2 linked regions of the Drosophila melanogaster genome follow. The protein of the gene in region 1 interacts with the protein of each later gene in a pairwise test. Each region holds a gene or a part of one and is shown on either strand. Other genes may lie near its edges.

What was found. Proteins that work in one complex are often made in the same cells at the same time.
Region 2: the proteins of dbe (region 1) and Droj2 interact in a two-hybrid assay, tested with the Drosophila melanogaster proteins (one large-scale study listed by BioGRID).

The regions. Positions count from the first base shown.
Region 1 is NT_033779.5:866,004-873,258, forward strand, and holds dbe (dribble), read right to left. Parts: upstream 3,855-7,255; 5' UTR 3,774-3,854; coding exon 2,736-3,773; 3' UTR 2,670-2,735; downstream 1-2,669. Other genes in the region: PNUTS (phosphatase 1 nuclear targeting subunit), read left to right, coding at 5,571-5,573, 5,638-5,735, 5,803-6,077, 6,205-7,255. UniProt on the Drosophila melanogaster protein: Required for 40S ribosome biogenesis. Involved in nucleolar processing of pre-18S ribosomal RNA and ribosome assembly. Binds to RNA.
Region 2 is NT_033777.3:13,378,251-13,387,486, forward strand, and holds Droj2 (DnaJ-like-2), read left to right. Parts: upstream 1-3,855; 5' UTR 3,856-3,894; exon of another isoform or gene 3,895-3,953; 5' UTR 3,954-4,008; intron 4,009-4,571; exon of another isoform or gene 4,572-4,862; intron 4,863-5,014; exon of another isoform or gene 5,015-5,213; 5' UTR 5,214-5,228; coding exon 5,229-6,329; intron 6,330-6,419; coding exon 6,420-6,530; 3' UTR 6,531-7,033; downstream 7,034-9,236. Other genes in the region: CG9813 (uncharacterized protein), read right to left, coding at 1-68, 152-534, 753-840; CG8870 (uncharacterized protein), read left to right, coding at 1,890-1,962, 2,019-2,568, 2,646-3,093; mRpS21 (mitochondrial ribosomal protein S21), read right to left, coding at 3,137-3,253, 3,313-3,459; CG9799 (uncharacterized protein), read right to left, coding at 7,460-8,637, 8,698-9,129, 9,193-9,236.

The DNA.
Region 1 (7,255 bases):
ATATTGAAAATCATTATAATAATCCTATGGCGAGAAAGTCTCTAGAATGTAGTTCTAACCATTTTTAAATGTTAACAACATTTTCCATGATAGAAACACCCCCAAGTTTGTCGATTGTTTTCAGTGTATCAATCCAGCAGTGTCGCAGGGTCAATGGACAGGGGAAAGGGGGTGTTGGGTGCTTGTGTACTTGCAAACAGGTGAAAGAGAAACTGCAGAGGGGGTCAGCTGGAGGCACTATCTGCTTACGATCTTGTACAAGCCAAAATCGCAGTAAACAAACAAGCGAAGTGCACGTAAAAAAGAAAACACTGACCCACTACACCCCTGGAAATGTTTTGTTTTCGTTAAGTTGCGCCGCTGTGTTATATTTCAGCGTTTTACTGTTCGTACAAGCCCCAAATTGCATCACACTTGTGGAATTTGACAGATTTGTGTTTTCGCTCCTAACTCTACAGCAGCTTAGAGGCCAATGACGAAACGCGATAAACATTATCGCACTTGGGTAACATGGAAATAGTTGGGCTTGCATAAATCATGCTTTAGAGAAAGTACTAAAGCTGCTGGGTGATTTGAAGTTAAGTTAAGTCATCATAAACATCTACAAAAACATTATGCTAAATGAAATACATATATGTTTATAATATAAGTATTACTACTTTTGTACTTCTATAATCTTGAAATATTTGCAATCCACACATATGTATCTATGCATCTGTAAATAGGGGAAAATTATAAGCCTCGGTAAGGCAATCTAAGATACATAACTGCACTGGTATCTAAGAACTCCCCGACAAGAACCATAAACCTGGAGACATGCCCCAAGCATAGCTTCCATTCAGGTGAAGATAATTAATTGGGTCCTGATAAGCGTGAGATGGGGTGTTAGAGCCTCAAATAATTCAGACAGCTGGGATTTAGATAAAACGGCGGCGTGCGGTACACTTGCTTTTTTATTTTATCTCGCATACTTTTTGGTTTACGAAGCAAATGGCAAAACAACAAATGACAATAGTTGTTTTTGCTGTTCTTTGGGTGGAAACCCGCTCGTTAGATGGTGGTGGGCTGGAGGGGGGTGGAGAGACATCGACACCCCGATCCACACTATTGTCGTCCCCCTCGCGCGCATGCGTGGCAGATAAGCTGACGTCTTTGCTTGCGCTGGTGTGTGCGGCTTGAAAAGGTATTTGTCTCCGTGTCTCGAGCCCCCCGGCACCCGCCACCCCCTCGCCTGTTGCTGCAACTTTAGTTTTTGACCGACCGCATTTTTTAAGCTTTCTTTTCCACCTGTTTTCCGTTTTCCTCTCTCACTGTGCGCTGTTTATATTCCACGAGCCTCTCTCAGACACACACACACACGTCGCCTATAAGCCGCACTCACACAGGTGAGGCTTCACAGTAATGTGCGAGCGCGGATATACAGTGGACCCTCAAATAAGTAATCTAATTGAAAATAACATCCTTGAAGCTCTTTAGGCAATTATTTAAATTAATAATCTAACCAATTTCAAATGATTGAACTTAGTATATGTTCCAGATTTCCCGCAATCGAGTATTACTTCACCGACGCATTACTGTATGTACAAAAGTGGGAGCGGCGGCAGGTTTCGTATTGATTTTCAATGCTTTGTTCAATTCATTCACTAATTCACAGACACAGGCTCAATTCGCTGTATGTATTATTCTAATTGACCGCATTTTCCGGTGAAATGTGTGATATTCATATGTATGTGTATACACTCCCTTCGCACACACACGCACAACACACAGGTATCGATATCACGTTAGCATTTCGATATCATCCTCTCACCTAGCAGCACATTCTTTTTCTAATTAGCACGAATAATCCAAGTCTCTGTCACGTTTGCTTGGCATTTCAACTGGCTTTCGGGCTTATTTTCGGGTTTAGCTTCGGTTTTAGGCGTTACAACTGCGATCACTCGAGCATTGTTTCAATTTTAATTCAAACATTAAAAGTAACTGTAGTCCAGCACTTAATCCTCTCTTCTTCTTCCACCTCCTTATTACCTGTCTTCGCCGTTCTCTCCGTCCTTTTCTGGCAGCCGCCGCCTTTGGTCTAGTGCTTTCTCGCTCCTCTTTGATTTTTATTTTTAAGACGGCTTTCTTTCGCTCCGTTCTTTTTGATTCTCACAGACCGTTTTTCTATTTTCTATTTTTCTGTCGCTTGCGGAAAATAAACGTACGAATAACAATAGCCCCGCGACGCCAATGTTGTTGTTGCCGTGGCTTTTCAGATACTGTTTTTGTTGTTATTGTGGAACGCACGCGAGCGTCATCCGCTGTTTAAGCGCGGTTAGTACATGTCAGTCCGGTACCAGAAATCGTACTAACTTGGCTCATTCGCTGGCCTTTTGAGTTGTTTGTATATATTTGTATTAAGCCACTTGTTGAGAGAGTGCGACAGAGAGAGAGAGGGAGAGAAAGAGATCTCTCTCTACACTAGCGGGCACCGCAATAGAATCAAAATTATTGTATAAGTATTTAATTTAATTTTATTACAAGTATAAGGTATTCAGCATGTTATATGCTGAATTAGCATTATGTATCCATTGCATTTTTGGAGATTGGCTTTTAAAAACAACTAGAATTAATACGAGTTCGTCCCCACAAACTTTTCATCCCATTAGTAAACCTTAAGATTTCTATTTACACGTTGCTCAGAAAATCAATTTTTATTGAATAGGTCCTACTACTAATTAAAACTAGGAAAACTATCAGCTGCTCCTCGCCTTCTTGTTGGCCTTGATCAGCTTGGCCTTCAGGGCCTTCACGTCCACCTTGCTGGAGGAGGAGCCATCCTCCTTCTTCCGACTTGAAGCAGCTGACTCCTCCGTGGGCGGGACAAAGTCCTTGTTTCGGCGTTCGTCCTGGCGCTTGGCCGCCTCCTTCTGCTTTTCGGTGCGCTCCTGGTTGCGCTTCGCTTGCTTCTGCTCCTGGTTGAGGAAGTACTCTCCGCTGGCCAGCTGCTTGTCCACCTTGCTCTCCGGCTGGCTGGGCGGGAATGGGGTGTACTCCTTCTTTTGCTTCTTGACCTTCGGCTGCTTGCGTTTGCTAATGTTTTTGTTCTTGAACTTGGGCAGGAATCGGGACCAGTCCTCGTTGGCCAGACGCGGATCCTTCATCAGCTCCCGCTTGATCATCAGAGCCTTAATGTTGTATATGGGGTGCACATTGTTCATGGTCTCCAGGACTATATCCCGCACCTGCTGAAGGCCCTTGTAAGGACCCAAGGCGGAGACTGTGTTTCCTTGAACCAAAACGTAGCAATCGGTGAGCAGTTCAATGGACTTAAGGGTGGCGCCGTTAGGTCCGATCAAACGCTGTCGCCGCTTCACGAACTTCTCCTTCTTGTGCACAAGGTTTCCGATTTTGATGATGTCACACCCAATGTCGTCCTGCAGGACCCGCTTGGCCTGCTCGAAGGGAACACTTCTGGCCATCAGCTTGATCATATCCCGCGCCTTGATGATGATGTAGGGATCCCAGGTCTTGCGACTGGTCTTCACCACCATGCTCCCCTCCATCAAATCTAGCTCCGCCTTCAGGTGGTGCTCCGCCAAGCACTGCTCCACCAGAGGCCAAACCTCCTTAAGATAGCGCTCCCGATATTTGGGAAACAGCGTGGCGAAGGAGCTCTCCTCCACCATCCCATGCGGGTTGTCCTCCTGCCTGAAGGCAGGGATCTTCATGGACCACGCATTGTCCACCGGCTCGGTGCTGATTTTGGTCTCCTCCGCTTCACTTTCGCTCATCGTTACTCGAGTTTTCAGAAGCTAATTCTACAGGTAAGATTCTTGCACGCTTGTTTTGGCCAGGCTGCCAGATCAGCGGTAAATGCGTGTGACCATATCAGGGAAAACTGGTTGGTTAATATTATTGATAGATTACCTATTTAAAGGTTTATTTTTATCTTGATTATAAAATAAATTTTTCGATTGAGAATGTTTTAAAATATATATTCAAATACAATTATATTTGATCGTGTGCCAGATAAATGCCTTAACAAAATTGCGATTCCAATGTAACTCAAATATTAAGGATATTGGGTACATCAATACTAATAAAATATGCAATTCTGAATATCTAAAATATAAGAAATAAGTCAAACAATACATGATTTAGCCCTGACACCTTCACAAATTTTATTTAATTGAAAAAGAGCTCAGGGTATCTATAACTTATGCCATTATATGTGTTAGAATAATTAAGATGAATTAAAATCTTAATTCAATAAATTTCTTTTTATAGCATTCGCTATTATCCACCGTGGATAGTTTTTGAAACTGTTAACGGGAAACTAAATCCATTTATATTAAAAGTGTTTTTAAGTAAATAATTATTGTTTGTACTTTCAAAATAGGGGTATTAATTAGATTACCATATTCCGACTATGCGTTTTGGTATTTTCTAAACAAACTTTTATTTTCAAGCAAGGAAAGGTCACACGATTTTGTGAGCCTAAGCAAAGCGCACGCAGGAGTTTTCGGAGAGATAGAAAAATCGTCGCCAATTAAATATTTAACAAATTGTAAGGCCGATAAACAATTGTACATTTAATATATATTTTCTGGAAGGCTTATTACCGATTTGCTCGACCTAAGTGTGCGGACCTAACCGCATGTCCAATTTTGGGGCGTGGACGTGAACGAAAGCCGATAATTAGGATTAAACAAAGAAAAATCAATATAAAGTGGCCGATATTGTTGAAGTTGCTATTAAAAGACAATTTTCTAGCATTTCCCTTGGCTGCGGATTTAATTACGCCTTTGTGAAAAATTGTGAAAATCAAAATGGCGTCATTGTTGTGTGCGTGGCAAGGCGCTGCCAACCTGCTTTAACAGAAAAACTAAGTAACTTTCACATTTTGCTTGTACCTAAAGTCAAATTTGGGTTGTAACCAAAAACGAGGTAGAGAGACATTTGTGCTACAAACGTTCAGACGAACGCATGTTTTCGTATCAATACCAATACGTCGTAATATATAATTTTCGGTTTTCTGAGAGTGGACAGCCTTCAGGGCTGCACTGGCTTATCGATTACCGATAGCCGCGAGCACACGTCCGAATTTCATCAGTGCCTGAAAAAATCGCAACGCGTAAAACACGTTTTCTGCAGCTCCAAAACAAAAAACAAAACATTCAAGCGGAGGGATTATTGGTTTACTGCCAGTTGAGACAATAAAATAACAGCATTTATCATATTTTGGCGCTGCTGCTGGAATTTATTTAATACTCGTCTTAAAAGTGAATTGTAGGGATATAGCAAAATTTTATCCTGCTAAATTTGTTCTCAGACTGGTGTTTTCTCCTATTTTAGATACTATTGCAGTCCTTGAAAAAGCGAATTCTTATGGAATTACGTAATCAGTGGAAATTTAGTATCTATTAAGACACCCATACCAACAAAAGCGAGTGTCGGTGCACACACGCACGATCCAACACACGCGCACACGTTGCGTATGGTCACACCTACAAGTGTGGAAGAGAGACGGCTATAGGGAGTTAGCGTTGCCAGATAAATTTTCTTCTTTCGCACGACTAACAAAGAAAATGGTGAGTTATATTGGCTAGGAAATGCAACAACAGTTGTGCTTTATTTAATGTTTTTATTCGACAGCCTCGTATAGTTCCACTGCAATTGCTGAGGTGCCTGCGGGTGCTTTTGGACAATAATGGTGGAATTTTAAGTGCAGTGGAGGTGAAACGCATTTCGGGGTAAGTTCACCACTTGTCAGCAGCGACACCTATCGGCGTTTGCTAATATCAAGTTTTTCGCCCACAGTTTGATGGCCAAGTATTCAAAAAAACTCGTCTCGAAATGTGTGTATGTACAAATTCTGAAATCCACAAAGACGGAACTATTGGGCGACTTTATGGCGGTGGGCGGTTGGTCGCTGGTCTACACCTGGTTAAATGATGCCATCAGGGCCATGAACTGGCCGCTGGTACAGGAGATCCTGGAACTGCTGCTCCTTTCTCCCGTGGATGTCAATCGCCTCAAGATAAACTCAGCACCTATTCTGGTCAAGGGGCTGTGCAAGGATGGCGGCAACGAAGGTAAGTTTTCTTTGATAAGTCTTACTCTAGTCGTAGATTAGTGTTTTTGGGTCATGTTTTGGGCTGTCCTTTATGCTTTTAATTACCTAGGGATTACTAATTGGCTTTTCTCGACCCCGTTTTCCAGGTGTACGCATTCTAGCCAAGCGTTTGGTAGAGCAGTGGCTGAAGATTGTGACGGAAAACACAAGCATGACGATCCAAGGTGCTGCGCCACATATTGCAGCCACTACTGCCTCTCAGGTTCCTGCATCCGTTTCTGGAGCTGGCTCCGCTTCAGTTCCGGACTCTGCCTCTTCTTCAGACAGCACTGATAGCGCCGGAGCACCTGTGACGTATACCATCACCTCGGCGGCCAACAGTAGCAATTCCAACAGCATTACCATCAAGTGGAAGCCTTTGTTGGACAACCCAGATGGTGGCGACGAAACGGATTCTGGCACACAATCGAAAGACAACGAGGTGGAACATCTGGAAAAGGGCTCCTCCGCAACCCACTTATTAGCAGATGCTAGTCTGGGGAAAAAGTCCGGGTTAGATGATAGTAGCTCCGCGGCGGAGGTTAAGTCTGGGGAGGACGTGGATAATAAGAAGCATAAGAGCTCAAAGAGCGACAAAAGTAAACGGTCCGAGAAGGAGCGCGAGAAGGATAGAAAGAAGGAAAGTTCAAGTCATAGGTCCTCCTCATCTAGCCATAAGTCGTCCTCTTCCTCGTCATCCTCCTCTTCGAAGAGCAGTTCTTCCAAGAGCTCCTCATCTTCTTCCTCTTCCCATCGCAGTTCTAGCGATAAATACCGCGATAAAGACAAGGCTCGCTCAAGTTCCGGCTCCTCCAGCTCGAGCAAGGACCGGGAGCGCAGCAGCGGTTCGTCTTCTTCTTCCTCGAATAAACACAAGTCCTCAAAGTCCTCCTCGTCGTCGTCGTCGTCGTCGTCGAGCAGCTCTGGTTCTAGTTCGTCCAAAGATCGCAAGTCGTCGTCGTCAACTTCGTCATCATCCTCATCCTCGAGGCAGGACAAGGACAAGGACAACAAGCTAATGCCTCCGCCAGCTGTGGCAGCATCAAATGCTGCAGGTACATCTCCTACAGCTTCGGCAAAGGAGAGCGACGCACAGAAGCCCAGATCGATTCCTATCATGTCCCGCAAGGCCTCCATTTCGATAGAAATTCGCCGGGA
Region 2 (9,236 bases), on another chromosome or scaffold:
TGGCCAAAAGCTAGACGAGCCGCCCCGTAAAATGCCTGTTGATTTTTGGGTGGTTTCGTAGATATACACTTGGATTTTGCAAAAGAGGAGTTTGGAGTTTACCAAGCGCTCTAGACTGGGATTCTCGCAGGGATTGGGGCTGGCCACTTACCTTCGCATGGGCCGTCGGCTCCACTACGGTTTTGATCTGCGTCTTCGGCTCCTCCAGCTGGGACCTTTCGCCCTCCTCCTTGGACGTCGCCGTAGTGGTGGTGGCCGACGTGCTAGTGGTTGTAGTGGTGGAAATCAGAGGCGTCGCCACCTCCAACTGCCTCTCCAAGTCGGGCATAATATTCGCATTTGGTTGTGCACCTGGCTCGGGAACAGCGGCGACCTCCTCGACACTCTCCTTGGTGGTAGTGGTGGTGCGGGCTGTACTTCCATCGTGCTGACGCTTGGCCATCACCGCTCCCGGTTCATTCCGCAGCTGGTCCAGTTCACTTACATCGTCCTCGATTTGGGGGAAAGCCGTATCACCGCTGCGCTTGGAAGGATCTAATTTGGGAGATGATTATTAATCCAAACGAGCGAGTTAAGTGAACCTATACTATCACATTATTTAAGATTAATTACTATATAAATAAATAAAAGTCCGCAAGGGTATAGAATTTTCGGCATTCTGCTTCTAAATCTTAGTTGCTTCAAATGCAAATTAGCTTTGGAGAGCGGAATAAATAAGGGTCAAGAGATGTGGGGGAGTTTTGGCTACTCACTGTAGATGTAGGGCAACAAAGCCGGATATGCCTGGGTCATGCAGATGCTGGCCAAAAGAAGGATGGCCAACAGATTCCTCGTCGCCATGATGTTCTAGCTGTAAAAGACTGAAAGTGACACAAGACGTAATTCATTTGATTAGAGCCTAAGATTCGATTGCACCACATTCAAAGCACAAAAATATAAAGGAAGAGCAAAAAGGAAGCACAAAAACAAGCACACACACCCACGCAACTAGAGAGCGTGACAGGGGGGAGAAAGCAGGCACACATACATACATATGCAAATCACGCTAAAAATAACACACGAAATCGATAAGACAACAACAAAAGCAGGCACAGTAAGGCAGTGGAGAATAATAAGAACGCCAAGAAGCAGGCAACACAAAATAACACGCCAACATTGATGCGAATGCAAAGCAAACACACACACAAGTGTAAATTGAGTAAATTGGCCGCATGAGCGAATTATCGATGCATTCGGGGAACACTTAAGCACGTTTGGGAATCCATTGAATTAAAAGGCCACCGGAGAATAGCTCAAGTATCTGCACTTGCTACTTTCACACACCTACACACACACAAGCAATGTCAATAAATTCCTATATAAAATTTACTTTATAGAAAGCACACAAAAAGTATTCTGTTTCTTTTATTATAAATCACTTCTTTAAAAATCGACCTGACTTGTAACTTGTTTTATCTCTCAGATTTCTAGTTTACGTGAAAAGGTAGGCAGGTCTGCTGCGTTCGAGGAAAGAAAGTATTCTGAGCCGTATACCGTGGAACACTGCGGCCACAAAAGCTTCATTTTGTCTCTCCTGCCGCAAAAAGCTATCTAAGTTATTCTCATAAAGAGAGAAAATCACTCAAAGCACACATATGGTACTCAACAGCAAAATTCTAACCAGAAACCGTTTTCTGCATCCGAAACTGTTTTCATAATGACATTTTTAAATAGTTCCGTAATATTTGAGAGCTCTGTCGCTACTAGCATAAAAAATTGTTCTTTTGATGAGCAATAAATTGATTAAAAATTGAATAAAACTACTCAGAACAATGTTAAAAATAAGAATAAATAGCTTCGACAGTCCTAACAGTCTTGAACAGTTGTATGTGAAATATTCGTGGATCAACATGTTGTTCGGACTTATAGGATCATTTTTGCTTATGCTGCAAATAATTCTTGTGCCTTATTCAAATGGTGCAGGTAACTTTCAGCATGCATAAACTTTGTACGCAATTTAAAATCTATCCTTCCTTCAGGGTGTCAATTTGATACGGAATGCGTGAATCTGGATAAGTGTCCCAGGACCAGAGCAGTTATGAACTCATCCAGGAAAAATATAATAGGTCTTAGAAGATGCGGCACTAATAAAGTGTGCTGCCCCAAGTGGGAAACGTATCTGCCACACGATACTTGTGGACAATCAAGAAGAAAACCTACGAAGGGCAAAATACCGGCGCTGAATGAGTTTCCCTGGATGGCCATGCTGTTATATGGAAATAAAAACAATTTGTCCCAGAAGCTGGTACCAAAATGTGGTGGATCCCTAATAAACAACTGGTACGTCCTGACCGCAGCGCACTGCGTGGAGTATCCATTTATGGACTATCCGTATGCCCTCAAAACAGTGAGACTGGGCGAACATAACACGTCCACAAATCCCGATCGGGCTATTGTGAATGGAAGAAGACAGTACGCTCCTCTTTATATGGAAATTGAAGTGGACCAAATTATTACGCATGAACAATTCAACCGGGGAAGGCGGCTGATAAACGACATAGCACTCGTGCGTCTTAAGTTTCCTGTGCGGTGAGTAATGATTCTCCTCTGGTCGAAATAGAAGTAGGATATGAATTGAAATAATATATCTTTATATCTTCCTATAGCTATACGAGAGCCATCCAACCTATTTGCCTTCCAAGAGCCCAAAAATTGGCCGCGCATAAGCGAAAGTTTCAAGCATCCGGCTGGCCAGACATGGGACAAGGAATTGCAAGTGAGGTACTCTTGCGCAGCTTCATCGCGGAACGGCATCCAGATGTGTGCAAATCAAATTATGACTTTAATTTGGGCAGTCAGATATGTGCTGGTGGTCTGGATGGGAATGACACCAGTCCCGGCGATTCCGGGGGACCCTTAATGGAGACCGTGATACGTGGAAAGGTCACACTCACTTATGCAGCCGGCATAATCTCCTACGGACAGAAGCCCTGCGTACTTAAAACTTGCAAGCCAGCATTTTACACAAAAACTTCATACTTTTTTGAATGGATAAAATCGAAATTGCAAAGTCCATTTATCGACAGCGACAGCAAATCTCGTACTAGAAAATAAGCAATTTATTTAATTCCTACATTTTATTGCCTCAAAAACTAGTTTAACTGCATCCAGGAAAAGGTTCGGCGCGATTTTTGCGCAGTACGAACTGAATTTTTCGGTTCATGTCCTCGTTGTAAATGGCCTTGCATTTCTCGAAGTTGATGCGACGACGAACCTATACAATAGTTTAATACAGTAAATAATAATAAATAGTTAAGTTATTTAAAGTCGAACCTGATACGGCTTTTCGTAGAATCGCGTGCGGCGAAATTGGTCGAGCAGTTCTTCTTTTCCCAAGACGCGATTTAACAGACGACACGCCTCCTCCACATTATTGTTTTGCACCAGAACGGTGCGGGCCAGAAACTGCACGTGTCTCATTTCGGATAAGTAGTTTTATTTTATAAAGTTTTCCAAATGTTTATTAAATAATCGGCTTTCAAAACAGTGTGACCATTTACTGTACTGCTAAACAGCTGATGAATATCACTAACCAGGGCTAACGATTGCTAATAAGAATCGTGGACTCAGAAGGAGTACTTTGAGAACCACTCAACTTAATAAATAAGAAAAATATTTATTCAACACAGTATTTATTAATGCATTGCCAAAATTATTTCTGTAATGCCCATCACACTTAAGAAATACATATTATATCCCATCAAATTATCAAAAATTGCTAATCACCTGAAAATGACTAAAATACCAGTTTTCGGACCTTTGCGGTGCGAGGCAACCCTGATGTTGTGGTTTTTCTTGCCGTTTGCCGCTCTGGTCACACTGGTTTCCAGTTTTCTTCCTAGCGTGGCGGCCATAGTAAGCTGTTGAAAAGTATTCGACGTAAATTAAATTTGTTGTAAAAGTGAAACTTCCAGGAATCGGGCTGCGAAAGTTACTATTTGCTTTAGGCACGACACGACACGAAAAAAGGTGAGCTGGGGCGGCTCTGGGCTAATTAAGATTACCACCTGATTTTGCACATTTCGTCTCGCATTGTGCGGTTTGCCAATGTGTGTGTCTACTTGGTAGACACTTCCTTTGCGCTTGGTTTTCTCATCTCTGTCGTTAAGTAATCATCGATAATTGTTTTTTGTCAGAGAATTTGCCTTCGATTTTTGGCATTAGATTTGCAAAATCGATGGCCATCTAGCTTTTTTTCTCTTCTTTGTTCAATCGAATTCTTCTGACGCAGCGTCTTGCGCGGCACATGTTGGTACGCATACAAGCGCAAAGTCTGGTGCATGTGTGTGCTAGGCACTGGTGAAAATATAATAATTGTATCTATTGATTTGCCTGCTAAATCGAAGGCTGCTTCTAGAATTCATTTCCATTCTTATTTTCGACTCTGCCCTTTCTCCTTTCATTTGTTCCCCTTTTCGTTCTTTTACGGTTTTTTCATTATTACCCTCTCCGCTTTGCAGTCGCCGTTCGCAAAACCAGGGCTGCAATGCGCTGACGAAAACTTCTAGAAACTGTGTGTATGTGTGCGTGCGAAAGAGAAGCGGTTGTTGTCGAAAGGGGGAAAGAGAGCGTCAGCTGCTCGCCGTATTGAAATACGACAATTGTTCTAGAAAATCGACTAGAAAACGTCGCAGTTATTTTCGCGAACACATGGCGGCGTAACGACCTTGAATCCCGGGCTCTAGCTTCCGGCAATGCCTACTATTTTCCGTTGCCCCCCAAATTACACGGAAAAAAATGGGTGATGGCATCAAGTCACAGCTGTAGAAATCAATAAACAAGAAAGGGTCATATGATCGAGTGGTTTCTGGATTTTGAAAAATGTATTTCTACAAAAAAAAATGGGTAACAAAATATAGGTTACTGATTTTTGTTTACAATACTAGTTAGAGAGGAATCAGCCCTTTGAACTATGAAATGTCATTAGATATAAAACTGACAATAACTTCCATCGGGAACCTAGCTGCCATAGAAACAGCACCACAAAATAAATTTTTTTTTTTCATTTTTTATAAGAACTGGCATCCAAATCGGTTGAAACTTCAAAAATTTTCGGTATTACACAACTTCATAATTTCTACCTATATATGCCTGGAGCATACACAAATCTGTTCCCCAATCTGTTATTTACAAGCTCCCAGATAGTAATTACGCACTACTTCGTCTGTTCACAGTAAACAGCAAACAAAATGGTTAAGGAGACTGGATATTATGATATACTTGGCGTGAAGCCTAATGCCACGCCCGACGAGCTGAAGAAGGCTTACCGCAAGCTGGCCCTCAAGTACCATCCGGACAAGAACCCCAACGAGGGCGAGAAATTCAAGGCCATTTCGCAGGCTTACGAAGTGCTGTCCGATGCGGACAAGCGACAGGTGTACGACGAAGGCGGCGAGGCGGCCATCAAGAAGGGCGGCGCAGATTCCGGTGACTTCCGCAATCCTATGGACTTCTTTGAGAAGTTCTTTGGCGCTGGATTCGGAGGTAGTGGCGGTGGACGCAGGCGCGAGAGGCGTGGCAAGGACGTGGTGCACCAGATGTCCGTACAGCTGGAGGAGCTGTACAATGGAGCGACCCGCAAGCTGCAGCTCCAGAAGAATGTGATCTGCGACAAGTGCGAGGGTCGCGGCGGCAAGAAGGGCAGCATTGAGAAGTGCTTGCAGTGCCGTGGTAACGGTGTGGAGACACGGGTTCAGCAGATCGCCCCCGGCATCATGCAGCACATCGAGCAGGTGTGCCGCAAGTGTTCGGGAACTGGCGAGACCATTCAGGAGAAGGACCGCTGCAAGAACTGCAGTGGCCGCAAAACGGTGCGGGAACGCAAGGTATTGGAAGTGCACATTGAGAAGGGAATGCGGGATGGCCAGAAGATCGTGTTCACGGGAGAGGGCGATCATGAGCCGGAATCTCAGCCGGGCGATATTATTATTCTTTTGGACGAGAAGGAGCACTCCACATTCGCGCACGCCGGACAGGATTTAATGATGAAGATGCCGTTGCAACTTGTCGAAGCGCTCTGCGGATTCCAGCGAATCGTTAAAACGCTCGATGATCGCGATCTGATTGTGTCCACACAGCCCGGCGAGGTTATCAGGCATGAGATGACCAAGTGTATTGCCGAGGAGGGTATGCCCATTTTCAAGAACCCCATGGAGAAGGGCACGTTGATCATCCAGTTCGAGGTGATCTTCCCGGAGGTGATCAATCCGTCGGTGGTGCCCACGCTTAAACAGTGCCTACCCCCGGCGCCGGAGGTTGACATTCCAATCGATGCAGAGCAGACGGTTTTGGTGAGTATTTCAGTAGTAGTTTATATCACGATATATAAATAATATATTATTTATAATTAATTTATTTATCGATTTGCTTATCTTTCGCAGGAGGACTTTGATCCCAAGCAACGTCGCCAGCAACACCAGCGCATGGCCTACGATGAGGACGATGGCGGCTATCAGGATGGCCCACGCGTCCAGCAGTGCACATCGAGTTAAGCGCCCCCGCTGCGTGTTGCATCCCCGGACACACAGCCCTAATAATACCCCAACCAACAAGCCGTAATAATATGTAAACCAGCTCCCGGAACACTGTAATTGCGCTTGCAAGTGCCGAAGAACTCCCAAAAGCACCTTAAAACACCATCCAATTCACACTAGGAGGCCCAACCAATCGAGAGATCTAAAGTTATTTCATGCAAGCTACGATATTTAGGTATAAATCAAAGAAACTTATCAGATATATGCACTATGTCTATAACGCGTGGTTGTTTGTAAACCAACATTTTTCTTTATGTTTATGTTGCGTTGGATTGTCAAAGAATCGAAAACGGAAACTGAAACTAAACTAAACTGAAATTGAAATTAGCCGCCACTAGAACCGTATCTAAAGTCCGCGCCAGCGAACACGTCTAGGAACAAGTTTAAGTTATTTAATTCCAGCATAAATAAAAGCGTTAGTTTAAACGGATATAACAAATAAATAATTAATACACAATTTCAACCCAAATGCTGTATATTCTTCTTCCCATAGTTCCAGTATCACTTGCCTTCCTCCGGCTATCTATTGATTCCATAATCGCTGCATAGTCACCCGCAGGTGTGAATCATTCGAATAATGCCAATTGGAGATATCAGGCATATGGCAGTAGTTTCGTCTTGAGTACATTATTTAAAATGCTATCTGGGATAAGTAAAAGATAAAAAGAAAGATAAGGATAGTTTGGGATATATATGGTAATGCCATTAAATCGTTAAGGATATAATGAGGGATTTTGTAGTTGTTGAGGATTATAAAGCATCCTATAAATGAATCTGCGGACCTGCCTGTCGCAAGGAATAACATCAAAAGCAAATTCAAAATGTAAAATGTTTTGTAAATTTATTTACAAAATTTCAAAATGAACTACAACATAATCTGGTGGAAACTAGTGCGCAAAGTTTCGGAGAGCGGCCACAACTCCAGTTCCATAGATGAGCTTCTCCTCCACACGCTGCCAAGCCTCCTGCTGCACCTGGGACACAGTGCGCAGCTCCTTTACCAAATCCGGGAACTCCGTCAACCCGAGACCGTGGGATCGCAAGAAGACGCTTAGATACGATTGAGCCAGCTCAAAGTTCAGATTGGTTCCAAACATGAACTTAACGAGTTTGAGGAACTGCAGCATGGCAAGGAGTGTTCCTCCAGCCTCCGGGTGCAGAGATTTGATCTCAAAGTCAACCATCGATGGTCCTAGTTGGGTCAAGTGCGCCACAGCCGATGCGAAGTCCAGGGAGTCAGCAGTTTCCTCCAGCAGCTGGCCAAAGGCAGTAAGATTGTTGAGAGTAGAAGCCTTCCGAATCCGGGATTCATCCTCCTCCTTCTGACCGTTCTCCACATCGAAGCGCAGTTCCAGTCCCGAAACCGTGGGCAGGAAGAATGGGGCCTGTTTGGGAGCTTTTGGTGGTGCCTTGGGCTTGTTACGTTGCTTGATTAGCTCCAAATCCAATAGATTCTGCCAACGGGATGCAGCCAACCCGGATAGCGTTATCAGTTCCTCGGACAGCTGCGTTGGAGTTTCGTACTTGGTGTCAACTAGCTCGCCGAGTTTTGACTCGTCCTCTTCGTCGATCTCTAGCTCCTTCATGCCATCTTCCAGTTCCATGGCATCGCACACATTCGTGGGCAATCCCACGTACGGAGCCGGCTCCAAAGGATCGATGGAGCGCAGGGAAATCTGATTAAACAGCGTCTTGTTGGCCCACAGGTAAATGCCCAAAAGTCCAACATGTGCGGTGGCCAGAAAGTCGCCATTAGGCGACATACTTAACGATACGCAAGGCGCCTCGACGCGGAAGTGATCCACCATGTAGGAGGAAGGTATGTCCCACACCTTGATCGTGGAGTCCATGGCGGCGGTGATCAGCCAGCGGCTATCCGGACTGAAAGTGAGGTCATTCAGCTTGGCTGTGTGACCGACGAACTTGCGAACAATGACCCTCGTGTGCATGTCTACGACAAAAATCTTGAATGTTTCCAGACCAATGGCCAGCATGGAGCTCTCTCGGTGCTGTCGAATCAGGGCGATTCCATCTGCCAGGCGTAGAGTCGCTAAGGGCTTGTCAACTGAAGGATGGTATGATTTTACAAATGTTTTATTAACTTATGTTGTAGGCAATTCCTTACCCTTTCCTTTGAATGACCAGAACTTGAGCAAGCCTTCCGAACAGCCAGAGATGACGGTTTGGTTAAGATTGTCGCTGGCCAAGCCGCGTACTGCCATCTTGTGGGCTGGAGAGCCATAGGTAGCCCGATGGAGTCCAGACTGGATATTAAAGCGCTCAATGTCGCCACTGCTATAGCCAATGATCACAAAGTTGCCACAGTGCGTCAGCACAATGCATGTGGTCTCGTTCTGGAAGTTGGTGCGGTTGCTGTTTTGGAACTGTTTCGGAACCAGGCGGTGCTCGCCCATACGGTTCTTGCCAAACGACCAGGTTGTCGTCTGAATAACGCCCGCATGGATGGCAGCGATGTTATCCCACTCCTTTTCGCGAGCCGTATCCGATGTGAACTCCAGTATGGGTGGCATTCCAAACTTATCGTGCTCAAAGCGATCTGCAAAGAAGAGTTGCCTATTAAAAATATTTTAAAGCGAGCAATAAAAGCCAAAACACTTACTCTTCTTCTTTGTGGCTTTTGGATTGTAGGTAGCCCTGCCCATG